Linked DNA regions of Rattus norvegicus. The protein of the gene in region 1 interacts with the protein of each later gene in a biochemical or structural test. Links are inferred from orthologs where the notes say so. Each region holds a gene or a part of one and is shown in the gene's direction. Other genes may lie near its edges.

Region 1 (5,260 bases):
TTAATAGCTATAAGTCACATTGGTAAGATGTACCATTGACACTGCATGATGACAATGGTAGGAGGCAGAATGACTGTCTAAAGTCTGAGGCCAGTCTGCGTTATACGGTGAACTCCAAGCCAACTACAGCTGCAGAAGGAAATCCTGTTCAGAAAACAAACAAACAAACAAAAACCAGAACAGAGAAAAAAGGGAGGGAGAGGAAGGAAGAAGAAGGAAGAGAGAAAAACAGAGGGAGGGGAAGAGAGAGGAAGAGAAGGAAAAAAGAGGGAGGGACAGAGGGACCGAGGGAGCGGGGAAGAGAGGGAGAGAAAACAGCAGCTCATCTCTTACTGTCTTTCCTAGTCTTGTCATGAGAAAAACATGAGACAAGTTCTAACAGAAGGGTATCTTACAACATGTCTGACGAGCACTCATCAAAATTATCAATCATTAGAAACGAAGAACATCTGAGAAATAATCTGTAGGAGCCTACGGATAATTGCAACTGAATGTAGGATGTATACTGCACAAGGTCCTAGAGCAGCAAAAGGAGGGGAGGTGGTAGTGGTGGAGGTGGCAGGGTACAAATGCACCCTCAACACCCTCACGGGACGTTTTCTTAGTTCTCTGGTTTCCTGACTTTCACATGACCCAGGACTCCATGTCCTTTCTGTATTGCTAAGAGCACTGTCCTCCAGAACCCCTAATCTCACTAGTCATGTCCAAATATTGCCTGGTTCAGGTCTCTCTAGACGACCAGTTCAGCCTATCCAGTCCCCAAATACGATTCTCCCTGACCTCTACCCACTGCAGGGACAAAACGATGAACGTCGTCATTGTTGTCATTATTATTATTATCATTATCATTAATTATTTTCTCCTGGCTCCTTGTTAGTTAGTCCCTGAATTCTGTCAATGTCTCCTGTCGTGGATATCGTGATTAGTTTTTGTTTTGCTTTTGTTTTTGCTTTTTTAAGTCAGTGTAATACAAGGCGAATTATTTGGGAAGAGGGAACTTCAGCTGAGAAAAGAACTCCGTCAGATTGGCTGGAGGGCCCTCAGTATCTATGGGCTTGTTGTCTTCAGGGATGTGTTTCCCTTTTCCCTTCCTAGGTCTTTCCTTGCCTCTGTAATTTCCTTTTGCTCGTGCGAGCAGCTGTTAAGAGTGGGAAATGCAGGTTCATGGTTCCTGGGCACTGTAATTTCTGGTGAATTTCTTTTCTCTGAGGTGTGTGCGCACGCGAAGATATTTACTTACATTCGTGTTTGGGACAGAATCAGTAGGAATTAGTGGGTGATTTACTACAGTCTATTTTTTAAGTGTAGCAAAACAATGAGACAAAACTCATTTTAATAGTCCAGTCACCAAAATTTTCATACTCAGAATAACTTGATTATATACAAAACAGCTTTGAAGAGAGGAATGAGAAAGGCCAGCATTAGATGGGTGCAAAATCGAACCAAGACCTGAAAACCACAGCGTGAAAGAAATAGCAGAGGATATAAAAGAAAGACGTTTTGAAGTAGCAACATTGGGAGATGATTAGATTAGCAAGGGATGCAAATAAAGGAGTACCAGTCCCAACGAGCCAGCCAGGAGTCGAACCTGGAATCTTCTGATCCGTAGTCAGACGCGTTATCCATTGCGCCACTGGCCCGCAGACATTACAGGCCGGCCCAATAATGATACTTCAGACTTATCCCGCAGGGCTGCATGGGACCTGTAGTCTCACTAGAGCGCTACAGATGGACTGGGCATTCTGGGAGATTGCAGAGCGTCAGCAACGAGAGCCTGTCATTGGTAGAGCAAGGGTGCCACGCCCATGTCACTGTGCGGTCTGCGGATTGGTGGGAGCAGCGACTTGGTCCCTCCACCTCCGCTTTGGGGCTGTAAAGACGCTCTGGTTGTTAAGGCGACTTGTCCCGCCTCCCCGGGACTGTTCTCCGCTTTGTGATTGGCCTCTAATAGCAAGGAATCCCGGCGTGGGCTGCGCGAGGGAAAAGATGGCGGCGATGGCAGTCGGAGGTGCTGGTGGCAGCCGCGTGTCCAGCGGGAGGGACCTGAATTGCGTCCCTGAAATAGCTGACACACTGGGTGCTGTGGCCAAGCAGGGGTGAGGGCCGGATTTCCTCCAGAGGAGTGCGGGATCCAAATTTGGGGAACAAGGAGGGCAGACTAGTACCTCGCAGGGGATGAGGGATTGAGACACCATTACTCCTTGAGTGGGGAAGACTTCGGCCCCAAGAACGAGAGGTTGAAACTCTGGGGGGCGTGTGGTCACGGAGTTCAAAAGTCAGGGGAGTTACAGGGCAGATTTAAAAAGGGATGTACAGTAGGCCTTGGAGACGGATTATTTGAGAGTAGAGAGAAGTATAAGGAGGCGAGCGAGAGAAGAGGTTAATCTGGCTTGAGGAGGCATGGGCAGTGTTGGGACAGGTCTAAATTTGACAGTCCTGGAAAGCCAGTGAAGTCAGGGAAGAAAGAAATCTACTTGACTTCTATGTCCATTTCTTGCTCATCGGTTCATGATTGTGTTTTGGGAAGAAATTGATGCACAGTGTTGTGAAAGTGATGTGTCCCAAGATGGGCTGAACTCAATAGCCCGTGGGGTGACTGATGATGGCTTTATGGAACTGTGCAAAATCAAGATATTAATATCCCAGTTGCTTGGATCTCTGGGCCCTTACTTTACATGATGATTCTGGGTCTGTCACGGTTGTAGGTTTGATTTCCTCTGCATGCCTGTCTTCCACCCGCGTTTCAAGAGGGAGTTCATTCAGGAACCTGCTAAGAATCGGCCTGGCCCCCAGACACGATCAGACCTACTGCTGTCAGGAAGGGGTAGGGACCTTACCCTGTGCCCCTTAATTATTAGAGGCAGTAATATCTTCTGCTTTATAGGACTTAATTTTCCTCCTCTGATTTGGTTATATATTGGCTAGCCCCTATGACATAAATAACAACTTTTTTTCCCCTTTCTTTCTAAAAGTTGCAGTCCCCCCATTCTTCATCAGGCTATCCCTCTATCAGAGAGAAAAAAGTCTTGCTTTTCACCTCTTTACTCTCTGCTGAGAACTAGAAGTTGAGCAAGAAAATGCCAAACCCCATTGAATCTTTGTCTTTTCTTGGGTGGGGGAGTGCAGACTGGAATACGCTAATTGTGGGAAAGCTTTCTCCATGGATTCATCCAGACTCAAAAGTGGAGAAGATCCGAAGGAACTCTGAGGCGGTAAGGCAGTTTAATTTCTCTGTGGGATCCCTTTAAAAGTTAGGCCTGACCTGGGTATTGTGGCACCTATCTGCAATCTCAAGCATCTGGGAGGCTATTCCCACATCTGGAAGATAATGAGGGAGGACTGAGAATTCCATGCGGGGAAAAGAAAAGGACATAAAGTAATTCTGTCACTAAACTAGGTTAGGAGAGTAACCTGGTAAATCATAGTACAGTTAAGTGTCTGAAGAAATGTGTGATGGCTTACATCTATAATCTCAACAGAGGTACATCTCCAACTCAGCGAATCGCTGAATTCCAGACCCTGTTTCAAAAGAGGAAACGTTTGGCTCTGGTGGAGTATGGCAGCTTACAGCCGTAATCCTAGCATTCTGGAGAGTGAGTGAGGACTCCTTCAGATTCCAAGTCAAGCTGACTTATGGAGAAAATTCCAGAACAGCCTGGGCCACAGTGTCAGAGCCAGTTTCTACTCTACCTTACCCCAGAAGTATTTGGTTCTTAGCTCTTAATGGTTTTCTTTCATCCTATGTTTCAGGCTATGTTGCAGGAGCTGAATTTTGGGGCATATCTAGGTCTTCCAGCTTTCCTATTGCCCCTTAATCAGGAAGATAACACAAATCTGGCCAGAGTTCTGACCAACCACATCCACACTGGCCACCATTCTTCCATGGTATGACTGAGGGTTCTTTCCTACTGTGTATCACGCTAGCTGTACCTTTTGCCCAGTTATGCTCCCCCCGCCCCCCGCCACGTGCATTTGGCAGAATTGAAATGTCAGTACTGTTCTTCCCCCACCCCGTCTAAAAGCGGTGTGCAGAGAGTTTCAGAACATAGCTTATGGGGCTAGAGATGTGGCTCAGTGGTAGATCACTTGCCTAGCACACAGGAGCCTCTGGGTTTGAGTCTTAGTACTATAAAACTAAAGATAGAGAAAATACTTAATTATTTCTATTTAAAGTAAAAGACAAGCTAAGTCTTTGTATAAGGATATGTATGAGATCAAACACGTGTAATCACATTTAGAAAAGCATATAGGGCTGGAGAGATGGCTCAGTGGTTAAGAGCACTGACTGCTCTTCCAGAGGTCCTGAGTTCAAATCCCAGCAACCACATGGTGGCTCACAACCATCTGTAATGAAATCTGATGCCCTCTTCTGGTGTCTGAAGACAGCTACAGTGTACTTCTATATAATAAATATAATAAATAAATCTTTAGAAAAGCATATAAAGAGATTAACTTCTGGACCCACTGAGTTCGAAACAGCGCTTTAACAGGGTACCTGTTCATATTTAGTTCTGGATGAGGGTCCCCTTGGTGGCCCCAGAGGACCTGAGAGATGATGTAATTGAGAATGCACCAACTGCACACACAGAGGAGTACAGTGGAGAGGAGAAGACGTGGTTGTGGTATGTCTCTCTTGCTGCTTTACCTGCACAGGGCGGGGTGAGGACTATGGGGAACGGATTTCGAGTGTTCCTTGAGTTATAAGCCATATGCATTTGACAGGGTCTTTCTTTGTTTCTGATTCTGGGCAGGTGGCATAACTTCCGGACTCTGTGTGACTATAGTAAGAGGATTGCAGTAGGTAAGTCCACAGGGTTCTGAGATGTAAGTGGCCTCCTGGGAATGAGAATCAGCAGGCTGGGCATGGTGGCCCACCACATTTCATTTCAGAACTTGGGAATTGGAGGCAGGCAGATCTCTGGGAGTGTAATTAACGCTACCCTGGTCTATATAATGAGTTCCAGGATAGCCAGGACTATGTAGACAGACCCTATTTTTTAAAAAAACAAAAACAAAAACAAAAAGCAAGCCAAGCAGTGGTGGTGCACACTTAGGAGGTAGACGCAGTCAAGTCTCTGCAAGTTTGAGGCCAGCCTGGTCTACAGATTGAGTTCCAGGGCAGTTAAGCCTATACAGAGAGACCTTGTCTCAAACAAAAGTTAGAATCAGCAGTTTAGAAAGTTCCAGGACTGGCCTTATGGACCCCTGCACACACATGGTACACACGTGGTATATGTGCACATATACACAACACACACAC
Region 2 (5,351 bases), on another chromosome or scaffold:
ATGGCCTCATAGGTATAGACTCATGTGTTTAAACAAGCCTGTGGAAGCCAGGGAGTGGAATGTGATGGTTTGTATATGCTTGGCCCAGGGAGTGGCACTATTAGAAGGTGTGGCCTTGTTGGAGGAAGTGTATCACTCCTTCTAGCTGCCTGAGAATGCTCATTCTGTTCCTGGGTTCCTTCAGGTGAAGATGTAGAATTCAGCTCCTCCTGCACCATGCCTCCCTGAATGCTGCAATGCTGTCATGCTCTCCCTTGATGATAATGGACTGAACCTCTGAACCTGTAAGCCAGCCCCAATTAAATGTTGTCCTTTATAAAACTTATATTGGTCATGGTGTCTGTTCACAGCAATAAAACCCTAACTAAGACAACTACCACATCTGGTTTATGCTGTGCTGGAGACTGAACACAGAGCCTTTGCCTGCTAGACAAACACAACCAACTGAACTATATCTCTAGCTCAGGATGTAGTTTTCTGCACTTGCTTATCACAACAAGTTCTTTAAATGGGTACATTGCCCCCAAGTCATCACATTCTCATTTCCTTGTTCTTTTTTTGTGATCAGTATAACTGCCACAGCATACAAACCTCTGCCAACTCACAGAGGACACAAAACCCCACTTCCAGACTTGACCCTGTGGGTAGCAGCAAATAGAGCATGTACTTTGTTCAGCCCTTGTTGCTGTCTTCCCTTCGGAGCACACATTCATACTGCAATAGAGTGAGAATTATTTTACAAAGTTCAAGGCTGCAGCAGTATTCTTCCTGCTGTCCATCCTTACCCTTGAAACATACAAAAATATCAAGCTACAAAATAAAAGACAAAAGAAAAATGTGTTTGATATTCATCTAGAGACAATGGCTTTTCTCTTTTGGGGGGACAGGTTTCCTCTATTTGACAATACGTTTTAACTAGATTATAACATTACATGTACAAACATCTGAAAAGAAGAGTGAGCTTAATGAACTATGAGATGTTAGACATTCCTATATTACTGAGGGGGAAAGAGATGGGTTAGAAGGAAGATGACCCCAAGTGGAAAGGGGATTTGTGGGTAAGAGTACCAGTTGCTCAGTATTGGCATTACTGCATTGAGTGATATGCACAAGGTCTCCTTCCTTATAAAGCGCACGTTTTAATGGAGAGAAGCATCTAATTGTTCATGCATATCAATAGAGGACTATAGATTTAAAGAATAAAATAAAATAAAGGACTATAGATTTATCTTGACATTACTAAAATTATTTTGAGTGGAAACTATCAAAATTATCCCTGAGTCACCATGGTCAGCTTCCCAGAATAAAATAGACAAATCACGAGAGAGTTGTCTGAAGCTTTATGACAAGACCTTGGCCTAAGGATGTACCTGACTCTGATTAGCTTGAAATAGACAAGAAATACTCTTAGTTGGGTGAAATCTGGTGATGCATGCTGGCCCCAAACTTGCACCACCATGCCTAGCTCTGAAATAACTTTCACCTGTTTATACCCCACATACCTTCTAACCCTAATCACAAGGACCTATGTGCTTTTCCTGATGCCCAGGCCAATGTATCTGTTGTAAGTCACCCATAAACTGCACACTGCAATTCTGGGCTTCCCTGCCTCCTCCTTTGATCTCATTGACCCGTGGGACCAGTTCCCATACATTGGAACAGGGGCGTTTTGTGACAAAAGCATATTCTATGAAAACAGTATTCTAGATATTGGAGAGCACAGTAAGCAGTTGTATTCCCTTGCTTTCAGACACAACATTCTCCTGAGGACCAAAAATAATACGTTTTAGAATCAAATGATAATAAATTAATATTATCCAAACTTCTTGTGATAGTGGAAATTATTTGCACTATATTTGTAATTATATCAATTGTAGATGTTGTGTTACTAAATTTAACTGTGTGGTTATTGCAAATAAGGAATTGGATTTTTTTAAGTCGAAGGACTTACTATATATAAAATGAAAGGTTTATTTAAAACTCTGTCCAAAGATCTGATTGGCTTAGCTTAGCCAACGAAAGACAACTTGCAGGATTGATTTCCCTGCTTCCAACATGTGGATCCCAAGGATTAGGCTCGGATCTTGGAGGGCTTCTCTCAGAACTTTTCCTCCTTTGACGTGTGAAAGTTCCAGGCCTTCACAACTGGTTTTAATAAATTCATAAGTGGTCTCGGACTCCTGCAGGTGTAGTCCACCAGCCCTTCCGCCCTCCGAAGGCGCAAAGCGCTCCTCCCGTCGCTAGGAGCCGCTGTCGCTCTCCCGGTCGCCGGAAGGCAGCGCGGCTTCCGCGTTCTCGTCGCGCATCCGCAGGTCTCCGCGCGCTCTTCCGGCCATTCATACTCCTAGTCTGTGGGTCTTTGGAGCCTGAATTCCGTGGACAGTTGGACTAGAAGGGAGACTGCGCCGCTAGGATGAAGCTCGTGAGGTGAGGAGGGTTACCTGGCTGGGGGAGAGCGGCGGGTAGAGAGTTTGGGCCAGCTTAGGAGGCCGGGCCGCTGTGCTCCCAGGGAGGCGGGAAAGCCGCGTGCGCGCGGCCTGCTAACGGCCTCCGGCGCCCGGGCCCCGCCGCGCCCTGCTCGTCGCCCAGAACCCTGGGCAAGGGACCGGCGCGTTCAAACCCCCTCCGGTCTTACAGGAATGAAGTGGCCAAGCCGTCTCTGTCCACTTCTCATCCGGCGACTTAAACGGAGCAGTGGTCCCTCCGTTTTCGTGGCGAGTCGGAGCACTTGCAGTGACGAGGATTTAGAAGTAGGATGGTTTTATCTGCAAATAACGACGCCGATTTGCAAGACGTTTTAGATTAAGTTCTCCTTAATTTTGACCGACCAAAGCATGTAACTCGTTAATGTAGGCTTCTGACTCAGGAAAGACAAAGTGTCTCTGGATGGGGCAAAAGGTAACAAGTTAATTTCTCCTGATTGCATAGATTATGTCGGAAGTGGAGCCTAACTAGAGTCTTGTTTGCTGGTTTGATTAATTCCAAACTTACAGACTTGTGGCCAAGTCTGGGGCAGGGTATATAATATCTAAGCCAGTTTTTAGAAATATTTAGTTTCTTGTGTCAAGACCTGTTGTAGTTGACCAGAATGCCTTTGGACACTTTAAAGTGCTTCCCAAGTGCTAGATTACAAGCATACATTTTTCTTGGTTTTGCTCATTAGAAAGTAAATTACTATTTGTGTGTGCTCGTGCACAGGTATGTTATAAGACAATTTTTGGTAATTTGTTTTTGCCTTCCACCAGGGTCTCAGGGATTAAAACTCAGGTCCTCAGCCTTTACAGCAAGTACTTTTTACCTGCTGAGCCAACTTGATGGCCCTGCTCAATATTTTAGTCAATTAATTGATTTTGTTAGTGGTAATGATTGGTTTTGGGGTGAGAGAGTGCGCGAGTGTGCTCCTTGGTTGGCTTGGTGCTCACTGTGTAGACCAGGCTGGCCTTGAATTCACAGAGATCCTCCTGCCTCCGCCTCCCTAGAGCTGTATTAAATGATGCACTACCATGGTTTGATTTAGTTTGGGTTTTGAGATTATATTTATGTGCAGGGTGGAGGGTGCCACAAATTAGGCAGAGGCCGGAGCATCTATGTAAATTCAAGTCCATCCTGATGAATTCCAGGATAGCCAAGGCTACACAGAGAAATCCTGTCTCAAAAAAAAAGAGTTGCATTTATTTATGGGGGAAGTTTGTGTGCACAAAGATGAAAGGACCCGTAGGAGGAGTCGGTTCTCCATTATTGGGATCCTCAGACTTGGCAGCAGCAAGCGTTCACCCTCTGTGCATATATACCGGCTTGCTGTGCTTCTTCCCAACACCCCTCCCCCACCGTTTTTTCTTTTTTTGCATAGATAGAAAATTGGGAGATTGTTAATTGTTACTGGTGAGGGCCTGCATAAATGGGTTTGTAACGGCAGAAAGTTGAAAACATCATTCACAGTGGGGTAGTTGACATTTCCATATAGTAGATTACTATCTAGCTCTTGGAATATTTATTTTTAGGGAATTATCCCCAGTGTAAACTGCTAAATAAGCTCCAAGTACTATTGATGCCATTAAAGAATAGCCTACTTTGTGTAAAGTAGAATCTTACATGTATGCTTGTGGGTTAGAATAATATCCCTGTTTACCAAAATGCAGGAAAAGAGAAGTTCTTTATTTCTACCATGTAATCTTATGCTATCAATTAGAATTCTATTTCCTTTTTGTGTCTGAAAATTAGTCTAGGGTCTTTTGTTTGTTGAGACAATTTCACTGTCACTATGTAAAACAGGCTGGCCTCCAATTCACAGAGACCCATTTGTCTGTCTAGCAAGCACTGGAATTAAAGGATGCACCACCACTCCCAGTGCTACTCCAGGATCTTGAGATATCTTCATTTAAGGTTGTTTTGTAATAGTCTCTTTCTAGTATTCTCTAGTCGGAAGCTCAGGACAGCCCAAGTTTACAGACTCGGGTGAAAGCTTATTTGAGTGCTCTGCAGCCTGTGAGCTGCAGGTGGACCCAGTAACGTCCAAAGATGCCAGAGGAAAGTTTATTGCTTCATTCTTTTATAAGTTTATGAGTTTGGTTCAGAAAAAGTTAAGCACTGTGTATTTATTATGAAGAATTATTTTTAAGATGTTTATTTTATGTGTGAATGTTTTATCTGCATGTATGCATCACAAATTTGCCTGGTGCCTAAGGTCAGCGTAGGCCTCCAGATCCTCTGGGAGCAAAGATAACAAATGTTTGTGAGCTTTCGTGTGAGTTCTGGGACTCAAACTGGGTCCTCTGCAAGAGAGGGGAGTGCTCTGCACTGCTGGTTAGCTATCCAGACCCCATATGAACTGTTGTGGCATTTTAAAGATTTTGATCTCTAGCATTTTTACTCTACCGACTTCATCAAAAGACTTAAAATGTTAAGGTAAAAAATCAGGACTTTATTTCTTTTTATAGATTTTTGATGAAATTGAGTCATGAAACCGTAACCATTGAATTGAAGAATGGAACGCAAGTCCATGGAACAATCACAGGTGAGAAGACTGTTTCTGAAATGTTTTTGTTTAAGGTTTTTTGTTTGTTGTTTTCTTCCTTGTGTTTGTTTAATGAGCGTTGTTCTTTTTGTTTCATTCTTTTTGTCTGAATTACTGAATGGAACTTAATTAAACCTCATCTTTTTAAAACATTTTATGTACATTAATGTTTTGCCTGCATGTATGTCGGTGTAAGCTATTGGATCCCTGGATCTGGAGTTACCCTGGAGCTGTGAGCTGCCAAGTGGGTGCTGGGAATTGAACCCAGGTCCTTTGGAAGAGCAGCCAGTGCTCTTACCTGCTGAGCCCTCTCTCCAGCCTGACTCCTCTTACATTC
Region 3 (5,351 bases), on another chromosome or scaffold:
CAGGGAGACGCTTGAGACAGACAGGAAGACCCAGATTTCTAACTGAACTTGGGCTATACAGCAAGACTCCTGTTTAAAATAAAGCTAGAAGGCACGTAAATATTTCTGATTCCTTAGTCCAACCCTTTCTCCAAGCTGCTGTAGGGATGGTAATCATGCAATGCGAAGCAAGTATCTCCTGGGAAACATGTTAGTCGTGTGTGTGTGTGTGTGTGTGTGTGTGTGTGTGTGTGTGTGTGTGTATGTGAGAGGGAAAGAGAGAGAGAGAAATGTGTGTGCATATATGTGTGTGAATGTGAGAGAAATGTGTGAATGTGTTATGTGTGGAATGTGTGTGTATACATGTGTGTGAATGTGAGAGAAATGTGTGTGTACATGTCTGTGTGAATGTGTGTGAATGTGTTGTATGAAATGTGTGTATGTGTGAAATATATGTGTGTGTATGTGTATGGATGTGTGAGGGAAGTGTGTGTGTACATGTCTGTGTGAATGTGTGTGTGTAAGTGTTGTATGAAATGTGTGTGTGGATGTGTACCTAAATCCAATCTGCTCAGTCTATACCGTGTTACTTGTATGTGTATCTGTGTTTCAGGGCAGACCATCGGGTACTGGTTAACCAAAGGTGCTCTTTCCTGGGAAGACTGCTTCTCCCACTCTCAGCATCCTTAGTTGCCTGTGTGCAGGGTGGAGCTCTGGGAGCTTTCCCCTACCCGTGTCTACTGGTCTCATCTTTGTCCAGCTCATGATCAGGCAGTTATGTTGGTGAAACTGTCTAGCTGGGACCTCTGACACTTCTAAGAGACACAATGGCACAGAAAACTGTTACTTAGGCTCCTACATTGTTTCCACTCGCTCTTCTGCAGAGATCCTGAGCCTCAGGTGTGGGAGTTGTATTGTAGATGTTTCTGTTGGTACTGGGCTCCACAGCTCTGCGTGTTGACTGGTTGTGGTTTTCTGGAATGGTCTCCATCTGTTACAAAGAGTTTCCTCGATGAGGACTGAAACTGGACTTGTCTGTGGGTCTGAGGACAGATATTTAGAGTAATTAATTATCATGTATTTAAGTATCATAGTAATTAAGTATCATGCTGGTTTCATAACATGGTGGTTGTTGCTTTTCTTCCAAGAGCCACACTTAACTGACACCGAGCAGTTGGCTGGGTTTCTGGTACTTAGTATGATTCCCCTCTTGTCGAGCAGGTTTTAGGTCCAATTAGAACGCTGTTGGTTACTGCCGAGGCATACACACCATTACTGCTCTGTGAGGATTATTGTGCCGTGCTGGTCACTGTCGTGGTCCATAGGTCTCATAGCTAGGTAGAACTATCCGTTGTTTTCCTCCGTTGGAAGCTTGCATAGCATCTTCTGGAATCATGAAAGCTGATCCCTCAGGGAGGAGGCTTTCAGCTAAGTTCCAGTCAGGGGCCTCTGGACCCTGCGTTTAAGTATATGGTGTCTTCAACCGTAGGAACTTACTTTTCACCTATGAAGGTCAGCCAAGGGCAATAGCAAGAGCCTATAATATATTGATAGTCGTCTCTTGGACAACCTTCGCCAGCAACTTAAAGGGGTGTATTCACGCCTGGTCTTGGGATTTTTGTTAGACGGTTGATGGCTCTTAAAGAAGCACTGTTAGCCCAGGTGGGAAATTTTCATCTCTAGTATTTATGTCTATGTATACGCCAACTTATATGTGTAGTAGACATGTGTTGTTGCTGGAGTTTAGGCTGTTGTGGGGGAGCGGAGGCAGTAAAGGCTGTCTCTGCAGCTGGGTTGTTCACACACACACATACACACACACACACACACACACACACACACACACACACACACACACACACACACACTGCTATCTCCAGCTAGCCGCTGACTTATGTTTTTGAGGTATTAGGGGGAAACCAGACTGTACACTGTAGGACTTTGACCACTAAAGACAGCTTTGTCAGTTTCTATCACCCAACGGTTTTGAACTGCGGGAAGGGGGTTGGGGGAGGGGGTGTTAACAACCCGTGTCCGAAGTTAGGTTAGTTACCCGTACTCAATATGCCAGTAAAAATAGCCAGATTAATCATGGAAAGACGAAAATGGAAAACGGAGAATTATAACGGAGAATTATTCAACATAGTCACATTACTGACTTGGAGCACTGGCTTTGACTCCAAATTCGATGACACACCACGTTTTGTGGTGGCACGTAGTTTGTTTTGATCCTTTATCCGGGTTCCTAGCGGATTGGCTTTAAAGACTATCCTTAAATCAAAGCAGCAATTCTCCAGGCTGCTGAGTTACTCATTAAGAGATGCTGTAGTGCAGGTGCAGAGGGCGATCTGGAAAACCGTGTGATGGGGAAGAGCGAAAGTGATGGAGCCCAGAGGCTGTGACTGTGTGACAGCCGGGTGGGCTCTATATGCTCTCGGGTCATTTCACACTGCGGTTGGGGAGTCCCGGGTGCCTAGGAACGCTCAGTGGCCAGTCTGGCCTAAGGCTCTTCTAAACCAGCGCTTGAGGTCAGATAGGGCTGGAAAGCCTGCGGTCCGGAACAACGCAGGTGGGCGTGTCGTCCGGCGCTGCCCCTGCGCCGCCCCGCCCCCTCGGTCGCAGCGCCGCGCCGATTGGCTCGCCCGCAGCCTGTCAGCCGTCACGTGTCGGAGCGTCCCGGGCGCCTGGCTGTGGGCGGCCCGGCATGGACCCTCAGGCAGCCACCGGTCCGGGGCCGGGCGAGCCGAGTGCATGGGAGGCCCCCAGCGCGGAGGTGAGCGCCACGGGGTGGGGGATGCGGGCACCCGCGACCACCCGGGCTGGAAGTCGAGGGGCTCGAGCGCTCCGGAGAGACCGCTCACCCGGGAAACGCCGGGGCCGCGCGAGTGCGCGCAGAGCCTGTCCGGTAACGGCGGTGGGCGCGGAAACGCGCGTGGACCCGAGCCCTAGGCTGTGGCTGGCGCGGGAGGGAGAGAACACCGGGGCTTCTCGGGAGCTCCTGCGGGAGTGAATGCAAAGAACGCGGAGCTGGCCGCCCCGAGCTGGTTCCAGCAGCAGGGGGCCGGGTCAGGCGGGAGCGGCGAGGAAACATCTTTTTTTTTAACCTTACCTTGAGGACCTCTGGCCATTGATAGGGATGTGCCGCTGATGTCACCCGTGCTTTTCCCCATTTGACAAAACGAAAGAGCCCGTCGTGTTACGGGGTTTCCAGAAACTTGTTTTCAAGTGCCCGCCAATGCAGCCTTTTCCCACGACCTGCCCTTATTGCGTCTACCTCTCCAGTGACTTCTTGACTGTAGGCATCCTTTTTACCAGAAGCCACGCCTGTACCTGGCACAACGTATATGCTAATTGGGTGTATGAGTGGAATGCTTACTTGGACATCAGTACTTGTACCATCAGATGGTACTTGAAGCGACAGCACCAATAGATTTGCAAAGAAAATTACTTTTGCAAAATAGAAAGTCAGGGCGGAGCTGGAAAGGATGTTTTTGGGTGAGAAGGTAGGCCCAGCAAAGGTCTGGATATGAGAAAGTACGGGGCAAATGGCCTTGGAGCTTGGGTCGGAGGGCAGGCCTTTTTCAGGAAGAGGACTGTGTTCAGCAAGTTGAGGAACGTGAGAGGCAATATGGATGCCATCGCCAGTCTGTGATGGCAGCAGAGGGCCTGTGAAGGTTTTGAGTGGAGGAGTGATTACACTTGCTAAGAGTGAGCAGGAGTAGAGAGATGGGCATAGGTTCACATAAGACGTTCAGCTCCTAGGGGGGCAACAGTGGCCCATGGTTATCACTGACTACAAGAGATGAATTGAGCTGTTAAAGCTCAGGAGTGACTAGATAATGAACGCTAATTTGGGTGAGTGCTAAGTACAGTTTACATGCAGGATGAAGGGTGCTTAAGGCCGGAGAGACAACCTTGGTGGTCTTACAGAGTTCGGCTTAGTTCTCCGCACCCACAACAGATGTCTCAGCCCTCTGCAACTCCCTCTCCAGGGATCCTCCTGGTAGATTCGCACATACAATTATATACAAATAAAGTAAATATATAAATAAATAAATAAGTGGATTAAAGTCAAAGAAATGTTACCTCCTTGAAGTCTTAACAGGTGGTTTTGTTATTGTTGTTGGCTTTATTTTATTGTAATTTTTTTTTTTTTGAGATAGGGTCTCATGTAGCCTAGGATCTGAGCTCACTTTGTGGCCAAGAATGATCTTAAATTTCTGACCCTTCTGCCCCTCCCTCCTAGATGCTGGGATTCTGAGTATGACCCACCTGTAGTATGTTATGTAGGGTTGGAAAGTCAGTGTGGAGCTTTGTGCACACAGGGCAAACACTCTCCCACTGAGCTCTGTCTCCAAGCCATAGTGGATGTTTTATGAATGTCCCTTCATCATAGGACCCCTCCCAGGACATAACAACCATTTCTGTTTCTAGAGGTCACACCCTGAATGAATGGCAGGGCTAAGACTGAATGAACTCTGCCTGACCATCCACGCTCTGGACATTACGGGTTCCACTGCAGAGAGATCTTGGGGGGAATAAAGTTTGGGGAACTTTGAAGTAACAGGGCATAACATTCCTGGTTGGCAGTGGGGATTAGGTATTCCTTCCAGTGTTTAGAACTCAGGCGGCTTCCCCCATGGACCACTGCGGGCATGGCTTTGTTAGGAGTTGTTAGACATTGAGACAAAGAACTGAAAAAGGCAAAGGTTTGCAGAGAAGTTGCAGGATCGGGAAACAGCAGTCAATCCTAGCCAAGAAGAAGAGAGATGAAGTTAGGGCAGTTGAAGTGTTCATAAACTTAGAGGAAAGAGTTTCCACAGACCTGAGGTTACAAACTGAGTCCAGGGAGCTGTCCCATCTAGCCTCAGGGTCTGTGAGCTTGGGGAAGTCCTGCTGCCCAGACTTCTGAAGAGGGCCCAGGGGTGAGAGCAAAGCCAGCATCTGTCAGTTGGCCACTGCAGGAGGGCACACCCAGTGGTCAGAGCGGAGAAGTGCTGCTGGGTGATGCCTTGCGCAGGGCAGTATGGGAGGGAGGGTTTGGGGCTTCAGAGCAGTGACACGCCCCACATACCCAGTTTCCTGGTGATTATTTCTTCTTCCACAGGCTGGTCTTGCCACAGCTGACCTCTCTGGTGGGGAGACAGAGACTGAGCTAGACGTGGACCGACTAGGCAAGTAGACGGTGGAGACTGGGGTGTCCCCTGGAAGAGATGGAGGGAAACAGCACGGTCCCTCTGTCTTGTCTGTCTTCTCGTGTTGGCCAGCCCTCTTTGCCCATTGTCTGAGTGGAACTGTTGGTTTGCAAGCTTCCAGGAGGTACTGGATGCCCGTGGATCCAAACCACCCCATTTCACTGGGAGGAACAGCTT

What was found.
Region 2: the proteins of Prmt5 (region 1) and Snrpd1 form a complex in vitro, tested with the Homo sapiens proteins (2 studies listed by BioGRID, with this or other methods). The link is inferred for Rattus norvegicus from reciprocal best matches to the Homo sapiens genes PRMT5 and SNRPD1.
Region 3: the proteins of Prmt5 (region 1) and Coprs form a complex in vitro, tested with the Homo sapiens proteins (3 studies listed by BioGRID, with this or other methods). The link is inferred for Rattus norvegicus from reciprocal best matches to the Homo sapiens genes PRMT5 and COPRS.

Annotation. Positions count from the first base shown.
Region 1 is NC_086033.1:31,945,025-31,950,284, reverse strand, and holds the start of Prmt5 (protein arginine N-methyltransferase 5), read left to right. Parts: upstream 1-1,972; 5' UTR 1,973-1,986; coding exon 1,987-2,096; intron 2,097-2,705; coding exon 2,706-2,824; intron 2,825-3,126; coding exon 3,127-3,212; intron 3,213-3,750; coding exon 3,751-3,885; intron 3,886-4,509; coding exon 4,510-4,622; intron 4,623-4,751; coding exon 4,752-4,801; intron 4,802-5,260. UniProt on the Homo sapiens protein: Arginine methyltransferase that can both catalyze the formation of omega-N monomethylarginine (MMA) and symmetrical dimethylarginine (sDMA), with a preference for the formation of MMA.
Region 2 is NC_086036.1:1,967,378-1,972,728, forward strand, and holds the start of Snrpd1 (small nuclear ribonucleoprotein Sm D1), read left to right. Parts: upstream 1-2,296; 5' UTR 2,297-2,413; coding exon 2,414-2,427; intron 2,428-4,937; coding exon 4,938-5,014; intron 5,015-5,351. UniProt on the Homo sapiens protein: Plays a role in pre-mRNA splicing as a core component of the spliceosomal U1, U2, U4 and U5 small nuclear ribonucleoproteins (snRNPs), the building blocks of the spliceosome.
Region 3 is NC_086034.1:82,420,823-82,426,173, forward strand, and holds the start of Coprs (coordinator of PRMT5 and differentiation stimulator), read left to right. Parts: upstream 1-2,657; 5' UTR 2,658-2,683; coding exon 2,684-2,752; intron 2,753-5,086; coding exon 5,087-5,153; coding exon of another isoform or gene 5,154-5,157; intron 5,158-5,351. UniProt on the Homo sapiens protein: Histone-binding protein required for histone H4 methyltransferase activity of PRMT5.